2 linked regions of the Saccharomyces cerevisiae S288C genome follow. The protein of the gene in region 2 binds, or shares a complex with, the protein of the main gene of each other region. Each region holds a gene or a part of one and is shown on either strand. Other genes may lie near its edges. The genes, in order: TEL2 and TTI1.

Evidence for each region.
Region 1: TTI1 (region 2) and TEL2 share a complex: the UniProt entries of both Saccharomyces cerevisiae proteins name them as parts of the TTT complex.

Annotation. Positions count from the first base shown.
Region 1 is NC_001139.9:685,720-690,478, reverse strand, and holds TEL2 (Tel2p), read right to left. Parts: upstream 2,581-4,759; coding exon 514-2,580; downstream 1-513. Other genes in the region: GTPase-activating protein MDR1, read right to left, coding at 1-234; ESP1 (separase), read left to right, coding at 3,021-4,759. UniProt on the Saccharomyces cerevisiae protein: Part of the TTT complex that is required to stabilize protein levels of the phosphatidylinositol 3-kinase-related protein kinase (PIKK) family proteins. Required for telomere length regulation and telomere position effect.
Region 2 is NC_001143.9:373,512-379,130, reverse strand, and holds TTI1 (Tti1p), read right to left. Parts: upstream 3,676-5,619; coding exon 559-3,675; downstream 1-558. Other genes in the region: YKL033W-A (haloacid dehalogenase superfamily protein), read right to left, coding at 3,916-4,626; ubiquitin-protein ligase TUL1, read right to left, coding at 5,026-5,619. UniProt on the Saccharomyces cerevisiae protein: Component of the ASTRA complex involved in chromatin remodeling.

The sequences.
Region 1 (4,759 bases), on a different chromosome or scaffold from region 2:
ATACACATAAGCAGTTTTTCTCCCTTTATTGTTCACTCTATCAGAATGCCCTTTTCCATCTTTAATGGAAGTTGCAAATGAAACTTCTGCATTCGTATCTTCCAAAATGTTTTCATTAGCTGGAAGTTTATATTTTAATCTGAATTTCTCATCTCTGGTTAATGTTGGAGTGAAACTGTCTGCCAGTTTATCCAAAAAGGGTGCCTTTTGACGTAAAGAATCAAAAAATGACATATCCTATCCTTTAACTAATAATTGTATCAACTCTGAGGTTGTTCGGTGCTTTAATTGATGGATCAGTGCTTTCAAAATGTACAATTTCTTAAATGTTGTTGGGCCCTTACCAAGCAGATTTGTTCAGGCCTTTTCTTATTGAAGTTCTTTTTCCCAGTTGCAGGAGTCGGCCGACCTTCTGAAATAATATGCTGTGCATTAAATACTAACGACGCTGACAGAGAACGCACTAAATTTATTCAAATATGTATCATAAGATTGGTACAAATAACTATGCTACTAACCTTTATTGAGAGAAATTCCTTCCTCTATGGCTGAACTAATTATATGATTCATCAACTCCGTCATGGATTCAAAATCGTGGACCGGGTTAGCGCAAGAGTATATGATACGCAGTGTTGTTAAATAATGCGACTTAAAAAGCTGATTGTATGTGCCTACGTCAATTCCATTAAGCCAACCGTGTGCTAGCGGATAGAAGAATAGACCAGCATATTTTCTAAAGCGGTTTTGCGTTCCTTTTTCTCGATCCTTGCCTAGTTTTCTAGATTTCCATACTGTTTTCGTCTTCTTTATCATACTTGTTGACTCTTGAACTTCAACAAGCCTACTATTATGATGGCTTTGATCATCCCACGGTAAACGATTTGTTGGAAAATCAAACTTGGGCTTGACAATAGTAGGATCATCAAGCCCTCTCAACTCTCTTGCAGAAAGACCCAGAGCCGACAATAGTGACATCCTTTGCTGTAACGACAGTTCTGAATTGAATAGAATATTTATAGCGCCATTCACCTTCTCTGGAAGGACGACCAGTATGCTTGTTAGAGCGTTTATTCTCCACTGCTCGAAAAGCGGTTCATCAAATTCATTATTCAAGCACACAATGCTTGACAGAATACCTTGTGCATAATAGCCAACCTCTAACTGAAAATCCGCCTTTTGCCGTATCAATTTCACTGTTTGCTTCAGAAGTGGTATCAATGGAGCTTTTCGAGATTCCCCAGTTTTTTCGTATTCTTTCATTAAATCTTTTAAAAATACAATTCGTTTAACAATCTCCCGCTCATCGTTCTCATCTTCATCATCGCTATCACTGCAGTCCAATGTAAGGCTTTGAACATGACCCGAGACCTCAGTAATCTTATCCTTACCCACATCAGTTTGGGTATTGCATATGGATGGATTTTTTAAAGATTGGAAATCAATGATTTTATCATCGCTATTGCTTTCGAATTTGACATTCGGTATATTGATTTTAAAATCACTTTCGTACTTCAGATGACCGCCTGATAAAAGCTTGGCAATAAACATCGCACGCTCCCTTGCCTCACGTTCATTGCTACCTAAATGTTTGGTCACGCCATTCAAAAACCGCTCATCGTGTGCTATTTCCTCTCTCTGGGAATGATTGAGATTGTGCACTGCAAAGAGTACAAGCAATTCACATGTCTTTGTGTCTACTTCCTCATCTGTAAAATCAGCAAATTTACTTACCAAAGCGCTAACAAACTTCGTGGAAGAGTGGTTGCTCATCAGACGTACTATCACTTCCTTCAATGGCAGCGACTGTATTTCAAATAATACGGACAGACTTATGATTTTATCGAGATCAAACCGCCGCAGAATTTTCCTAACATCGTTCAAATTTTCTAAAGTCACGATAACTTGAATATATGGTAATAAAAACTTAGCAATCAGCCTCTTTTGATCTATCAGACTACTAGCAGATATGATTTTCTGAAAAGAAAAGAAATACGACTCTTTCAATAAAAATAATTCGCCTAATAACATATCTGCCGCTAGCACTGGGTTAAGCAAAAATGATGAAACTAACCATTCCCCTAAAAACCCAGGTGGATCTGTTTCATTACTCTCAAGTAGAAATTTCCACTGAAGCCGAAGGTATCCCAAATATTTCGCCATATCAATTCGGTTGGCCAACACATTAAATAACTTGCTCCCAAAGAAAAGGGCCTTAATGCTATCACGGTCTGCTTTGCTAGTAGTGCTTGCCTTTAAATAAAAAGTCAAACATCCCGGTTCAAAACTGATGATGTCTTCTAAAATTTCTTGGTATATGCGTATCTCTTGCAGTCCATCGCGGCCACTTATTGTCCTTGAGAAGGTGACAATTTGGCATAAAAATGTAAACGATTTAGAAGCTAGCCGTCTCAATATCACCTTCGATCTTTCTGGTAGTGATGGATAAACTGGAATTACGAATTTTATGAGAACCATCGAGGCATCTAGATCCACCGGTTCGCGAGGATAGGAATCTAGTTGTATTAAAGCTTCATGTATTTGACTGCTGTCAAGCCCTTGTTTCAGCGTTTCTAAAACCATTTCATGAGGAATTAAATGCGTATAAAGTAGCTCGATTCACGTTCTATTAGCGGCAACCTGTCCACAAGTACTTATTGTCTGCATTTCTTGGTGTTTGTTTTTATTTTCTTTCTTTTCAAACTTCACGGGTCTTTACAGAAAAGAGGTAAACAAACAAAAACAAGAACATGGATACAAAGCCCATCCACGTAACATTGCGCATTTGAAGCGAGAAGCTTACCACAATTAGTTAAATTCCTTTTGGAGGAATATAGACACTCTATCATCAGAAACATCCGAATTATTTTAGTTAGGACACGTTTCACAGGAGCATCTGGCTATAGCATATTTTTCTTTTCCTTCTAACTGCGAGCATAGTAAAAAGTTGACCTAAACCCAACATTTTTGAGGCTAACCTAGTAATAATTTAACCTAGGCACGAAGTGCTTATAAATTAAGGAATGATGGTAAAACAGGAGGAACCGCTGAATGAGATTAGTCCGAATACTCCGATGACTAGCAAGTCCTACCTTTTAAACGACACGCTTTCGAAAGTACATCATAGTGGCCAAACTAGACCACTGACCTCGGTGTTGTCTGGAGACGCCTCATCCAATTCTATTGGCATACTAGCAATGCATAATAACATAATACGTGACTTTACAAAAATTGCAAGCAATAACATAGACTTAGCCATTGAGGATATTACCACTGTTGACCATTCATTAAATTCAATATATAGCCTATTGAAGAGCCATCACATGTGGGGCCATATAAACTCCACTGTTAAACAACATTTGATGATAATTGTTAAACTAATAAATAATAACGCATTAGGATTGGCCTCCTCTGAAATTATTTTTCTTTTCAATGAAACGAATTTATTTCAAGCTCATAGTCTGAAAAACATTCTTCTAGCAGACTTCAGTACGTGGAACGACTACTATCTTTCAAATCTGAAAATATTAGCGCTGCAGATTATACTGAAAAGAAAGCTAGTAGACGAATACTTACCGCATATATTAGAACTATTTTCCCATGATAAAAGATATCTTTTGAAAGACCCTAACCTCAAAGCTCACGCTCTCACAAAAATCGTGCTGAGCTTTTTTTCTGTCACGACGAGTTGCAAAGTTCTATTCGGGCTAAAATTTCTACAATATATCAAACAGTTCAAATTACCTTTTAAAAAGTTCATTAGCAACATTACCGTCGAGTGTTTTAGCAAAAACCTTCTTCATAAAAATTATTTGGAGATGGGACCTAATAAAATATATTTAAATTCATTTTACTTATCCTATTCCATGCTGTACGATGGATTGGATAAAATAATGCTTCTAGACATTTTAAGTTACGAAGAAACTACTGAGGTACAAAGAGCGATAAAAAGTAAAAAAGAATTCAATGAATACTGCAACATGAGTGAAAACCGTCTTCTCTGGTCCTGTATATCTGTCGATGATTTGAACGTAATACTCGAAAATGCAACGAATTTTCTACAAAATAAAGGGAAACATATATCCGCAACATTAAAATGTTTAGTCTGTCTTTGGTCTACTATTCGCCTAGAGGGATTACCTAAAAATAAGGATATATTGAGGCAGTTTGATTGTACTGTTATTTATATCAACTCAAATATTAAATCCATTAATGACGAATCTGCGGCGGCATTATTATCCGAACTTCTGGGAGTTTTATCAGAAATTTGTATCGATTATAAAGAGCCTAAACGACTGTCAAATATTATCAGTGTCCTTTTCAATGCTTCTGTTTTATTTAAGAGTCATTCGTTTTTGTTAAAGACTGCTAATTTGGAAATCTCAAATGTTTTAATCAGTAATGATTCAAAAACATCTCATCGTACTATACTGAAATTTGAAAAATTTATATCTAGTGCTCAGAGTGCCCAGAAAAAAATTGAAATCTTTTCCTGTTTGTTCAATGTATATTGCATGCTACGAAATGATACGCTATCATTTGTTTTTGACTTTTGCCAAAATGCATTCATTCATTGCTTTACACGCCTAAAAATCACAAAATTCATCGAGTTTTCAAACAGTTCAGAAATTATGCTTTCAGTACTGTATGGAAATTCATCTATCGAAAACATTCCTTCCGAAAATTGGTCACAACTAAGCAGAATGATATTTTGCTCACTGAGGGGTATCTTTGATTTGGATCCTTTAGAGCTAAATAATAC
Region 2 (5,619 bases):
CATTACTTGGACACTGTCTGTTCTATCGCTTCATTTGTAATATGCGTATTGCCCTTCTTATTAATTGCTAATATTTCACCTGCAACATAGTCCCTGTTGATTAACGTGTTTATCCATTTCAATCATGAGAAATGTTTCTTCTGTTTTCCAATGCCTGGCCGAGCTGGTAATATATATATATATATGTACATAATACTTTATTAGAATATATTGTTGATGATTAGTAGACAAGTGGTACTACCAACCGAGAATAAAAGCTGGTCTTCTTAATATAATATGAGATAGGTATAAATAGCAGTCACCGATATCATTGGTTACCCAAAGTGACAATTCATGTCTTTCATAGATATAAATCGTAAGCTAAAATTGAATTAAAAGATCTTTAATTTAGCTGCCCTGCTAATTCTGAAGTCACATATCATTCCTCATTCTGGATCACTCATAACATTTATTGTCTAATTACTTATTGTAATCACTATAGTCACTGGTGTGAACAATGTGAGCAATAATAAACCACTGTATTACCATATACAAATGCATATGTTTAGCCACATAAGTTTAATTTATATTTCTTATTTTCCACACGATATCCCCCACTATCAATGACATAGATGATATTTTCTCCACTGGAACAACCTGAATACAACAATATATTATTTGTTCAAGTACCGCTTCAGAAATTAAATACTCTGTAATTTTGACCCCTTCTAGCACCATATGTACCATCGATACTAGCGCATTTTCAGTTACTGGTGGGAATTTGACATGCTTACTAATCGATTTTTTCTCATGGTTGTGCACCGTTGGATCAATCCTCAGTTCTTTCAATATAAAAGAATCCTGACACAGTTTCTGCCAAAGTTCAATGAATCTCTTGGCGACAAAATCACCAGAATATTTTATCATCTGCTCCACGCATGAACATGCGGGCTGAACGATCGAATAATCAGAGCATAGGACGCACTGTATGATGGAGTCCCATGTACTAGCAACCTCCCTTATCAACAGATTATGCTGTGTTGATAGCAAGGGAAATATAAGCCTCATAACAATAAGAATTTGCACTCTTAATCGTTTTGATGGATGGGTTAATAATCTTTCCCCATAACCCAAAATTTGCAATAGTATTTTGTATGAATCTGATGGTATAGGTGAGGTCCACTGGTCAGTATACTCTTTAGAACTTCCTTCCACCTCTTCTTCTCTTTCTTCTTCATCGTCGTCGCTATCTGGCTCTCTTAATTTGGAGTCGAAATATTCTTGAAAATTACTGGGCTCATTATCATCCTTCAAAAAATCGACGTCGTTCTCGTCTGTTATGTCATCTTTAACCTGTGTCTCTTTATCTAGTATATTGAGTACTTGCTGAAAATCGGTCATACCCCAGGGCGAAAAAGTACTTTGTGAAATGTGTTGATTAGCTATTTTCAAAATCATCTCATCATCATTGATATATTTTTTCTTCATCTCCAAAATGATGATTTTAAATAGTTGGAAAAATTGAAGACAGAGATCACTATATCCATGATAATAATCCAGTAGTTTAAATATCGTTTCAATAACATCTTTAAAATTTTCAATGGTTTCATAGCCAGCCAATTGGCAAATCACCATTAATATTTGGCTCACTCGTTCAGTCATCCCAGAATTCAATCTTGAGGAAATAGATTCTACAAGATAATCTACGTTGCTTAAGATCATGTTTGGGATAGACCCATGATATAGGGTATCTGCTATCCTCAATGCACAGGATTGGCTCACATACCTAATGGCTTCGGACGGTGATGCCAAGGCGTCAACTACTGTGTATATATAGTCAATCAATTCTGGTTGAAATTCTTCTCTCATTACCGCACAAATCGTTTCAATAGAGAATAAAACTGTACATACGGCAAACTCATCACTTTTTTTTATGCCTTTACCTTCAATCTCCATGCTAATGTCTTGAGAAAGTTCATTGCAAAATTCCAATACAATCAAACACACTTCTTCAACCATGGAAGAGGAATAGTTGGCATCAGATTCAAATTGTAGATAGACTTCTTCCTCCTTCGGTTGCTTTTCCATAGCCTTTATAAAATTGGTGCTTAACCACAGCGCAACTATCTTCTGCGTTCTTGGTGAATCAACTTGTTCTGAAATCAACTCTGTCACCACATCGTTGAGAATATGTCTTTCTAACAACAAAGAACCCATATGGTATGTAAATTTTTTCAGTTTGAGTGACATGTCTTCTGATAATCTTGGTAAAGCAATCAGAGCATTCGTACTTTCCAAGTTTTCGAAATTTACTGTAGTTGTTAATTGACTACTTTGTTCAATTATTCTCTCTTTATGATTGATCAAACTTGGTGGCTCAATAGATTCATTAAGCGATTCAAATAAACATCTAACTACCTCATTGATCATTGTATCTCTTTCGTTATTTTTCTCTAGAATAGTGATTGCAAATGATAAAGATGATAACCTATCTGCATTTTCAAACCGAATAATGTCACTTAGCTTGTGCAGGTCTTCATTGACAACTTCCTTTAATTTTACCAAATGCGATGGTAATTTGGACATCGGATCACGCTCCAAATGTACTAAAGTGGATACCAACACTTTCTCACAATTATTTAAAGAATTTTCACATCTAGTTAAAAGGATTGATACAAATGTCGCTAATGCCTCATCAATTGATTCATTATTACGTTTTAATAGTTTGGGTATAAAGGCCTCCAAAGCAATATTGATTTGCCCAGAAGTTGCCGTCAACCAACTTGTATCTCTATGCGTCTTCCCATCTGTGCGTAACAAAACAATAGGTCCATTAAACATAAATGATTGATTTATCTCGTGTTTTAACTTTGTATCGCTCAACTCTCGAATATCTGTTAACTTATTTACTTTGATATCCAAACTAAAATCATCGTAAACCAAAACCAATAATTTTGCCAGAACCTCTAGCGTGCGAACACACACCTTATAATGTATTTGACGGCCTGGTTTAGTAAGTATCTTAGCGAAAACAGAAACGTTCCCCGGAAGAATAAAGGAAAGCATTTCACCATCAGATATTATGTCCTGAAATAGTACTTCTAAGGATGCCAAAGCTTTGAATTGAAGCTCATTATTTTGGGGCGATTGCTCCAGAATTTTCAACAGAATGGTAACAGAATGTCCTAGAGCGGGAAGTAAATTAGGTTTTGAGTTCGAAAAGAACTCTTTATGGTACCTTTGCGATCTTACTGATTTGAAAAACTGATGCAAGACTAAACAACCAGCGTACTTGAACTCGTCTGATCTAGTAATTAATTTTTGATTATCTTTATCAGAACTGACTAAAAATGTGATTAAGGGGAACAGTTGTTGTCCCAATTGCTCGGAGAATTTACCATTAGATGACCAACATGTCCGTAAGAGATGAAATATAATTAGTAGGACGTATTCTGTTTGAGACTCGCCGAGAGCTGGCTGTTTCAATAAACTCGCGATAGGAACAAAAACATAATCTGCAAATTTTGGCGAAAGTGAATCGTCTTCGTATGCTGATAACTTCTCTTCAACTTTTTTTAAACATGCCAATAGCGTTAATGAATTTGGATCAAATGATTCGGTGGGTAAAAAAGCGATCCTAGAAAGTTCAACACATGAAATTCTTATGTCCTTAAATGCATTCGTGTCTGAATTCATTTGCACAAAGCTTTTGAACACCAGCTATTGCAATCTTTCCTTTCGATGTGCATGTTCACTATAATATTTTATTGTAATGAGATTGAAATAAAACGATAAAAACCCAAACATGTACTATAGTATATTATACAAAAATAACTGAGCTCACCACATAAAGTAGTGTGATAAATCAAATACAAATCATCCCTTTTTATACTTAGTGCAATATACAAATATATTGTTTACGTAAATACTGGAAATTCACAGTCCATATTTGGACATTTCCAGTTTTTCCAAAGAAGACAATAGTTCACCTTTACCGGCTAACAAAGCTTCTGTGTCCCCCAAAACAGCATGTGCTTCTGGATGGGGGACCCAAATAACGTGTGCACCAAATGCCTTGGCTGATTTTACGCCTGGAATACCATCTTCGAACACTATACACTCATCGGGCTTAATATCGGTATGAAACTTCTCATTCAATTCCTTTAAACCCAACTGCCAAATGTCCGGGAAAGGCTTACCCCTACCTTTTGCAATTCTTGGATCATCACCAGTGACAATGGTATCGAAAAGATCAAAACCTTCCTCTAAATGACTTGTTTTGCCGCGAAATTTAGTCTTGTTCGAAGACGTACATAATGCAATAGGAATGTTCTTTAACTTTAAGTATTTCAACAAATTCAATGCACCGGGAAGAAATTCGCAAGTACCCCATTTAAGAGATTGCAATGCAACATTTCTTTCGTCGTACTCATCTAAAGTTATTGGTAATTTGTAGTGTTCGATCACCCTTTTTCCTGCTTCCGGTCCCGGAAGCCCTTGCAATTTAATCTTCACATCCCAAGTTAAAGGTCCCTTACCAAATTCTGCGAGAGTTTCATTTAAAGTTTCAGTATAAATATCCTCTGTGTTGATGAGAAGACCATCCATGTCAAATAGACATGCCTTCACTGCTACAGGATGTGTCATAATTTGTTAAAAAAAAGAAATTTACTTTTGCGTTCTTATTGTCAAAGAAACAAAAGCAGTGTAATTGGAAGGCAGTGACGGTCTTAAGATTCCCCAACTTGGAGTTGGAGCGATTTAGATTCACCTCAATGGATCTTGATCGGCAATATTTTCCCAATAATTAATTCCTCGAAAAATGTGTCATACGGAAAAAGGGTAACACTAAAAACCCTTGTGAATTATCCTAAGTCTAGTTTGCCTATTGTATATTTAAGCAAAACTACTTTAGTGGTAATAAAAAGTTAATGCACTATTCATGTAAAATTTCTTATTGCAATGGTTGACAAATAGGAAATGTCACGGTATCTTGGATCTTGAATACAAATACAGTATATAGTTCTTAGGATCAAGAGATGCTATCTACAACGGAGGTAATGGTGACCTACACACAGGACATTGTAACTTATAATTCATCCAGTTTTCTAGACACGAAGTATGAAATACGTGATTACAAGGCGTTACCATGTAAGAGTGCTGATCCACCTTATGAGTTTCTGGAATTTCCTCTATGTAAATTGGAACATCAGACATACATATCGCGCAATCAACGGTATGTTCAGCAGTTCCACCACCATGCTCCGATATATACTCGTTTGAAAGGGGCTTGAAATACGAATATCCATCAGGTATTGTGTGCTTAGGCAAGAACCAGCGCGATCCCAATACATCTTGAGAATACAGTATACTAATTTGAAACAGTAGCCACAATGATAAAAATACGACGAAATGAACATCTTTATGGTGCCTGAACACATTAGAGGAGTAAGTGAAAACATACACAACGGGCAAGCTTCTAATTATTGTTGTACCAATTACAAAACTCCACAATAATGGCATTTTGTTTTGACTTCTATTTCCTCCAATGCTAGATCTTGCTCTTTCTCTTCTTGAAGGAATACCTTTAACGGCGTTACGGAAAATTTGAGGGATCCAATATGAGTTTAATATGAAGAT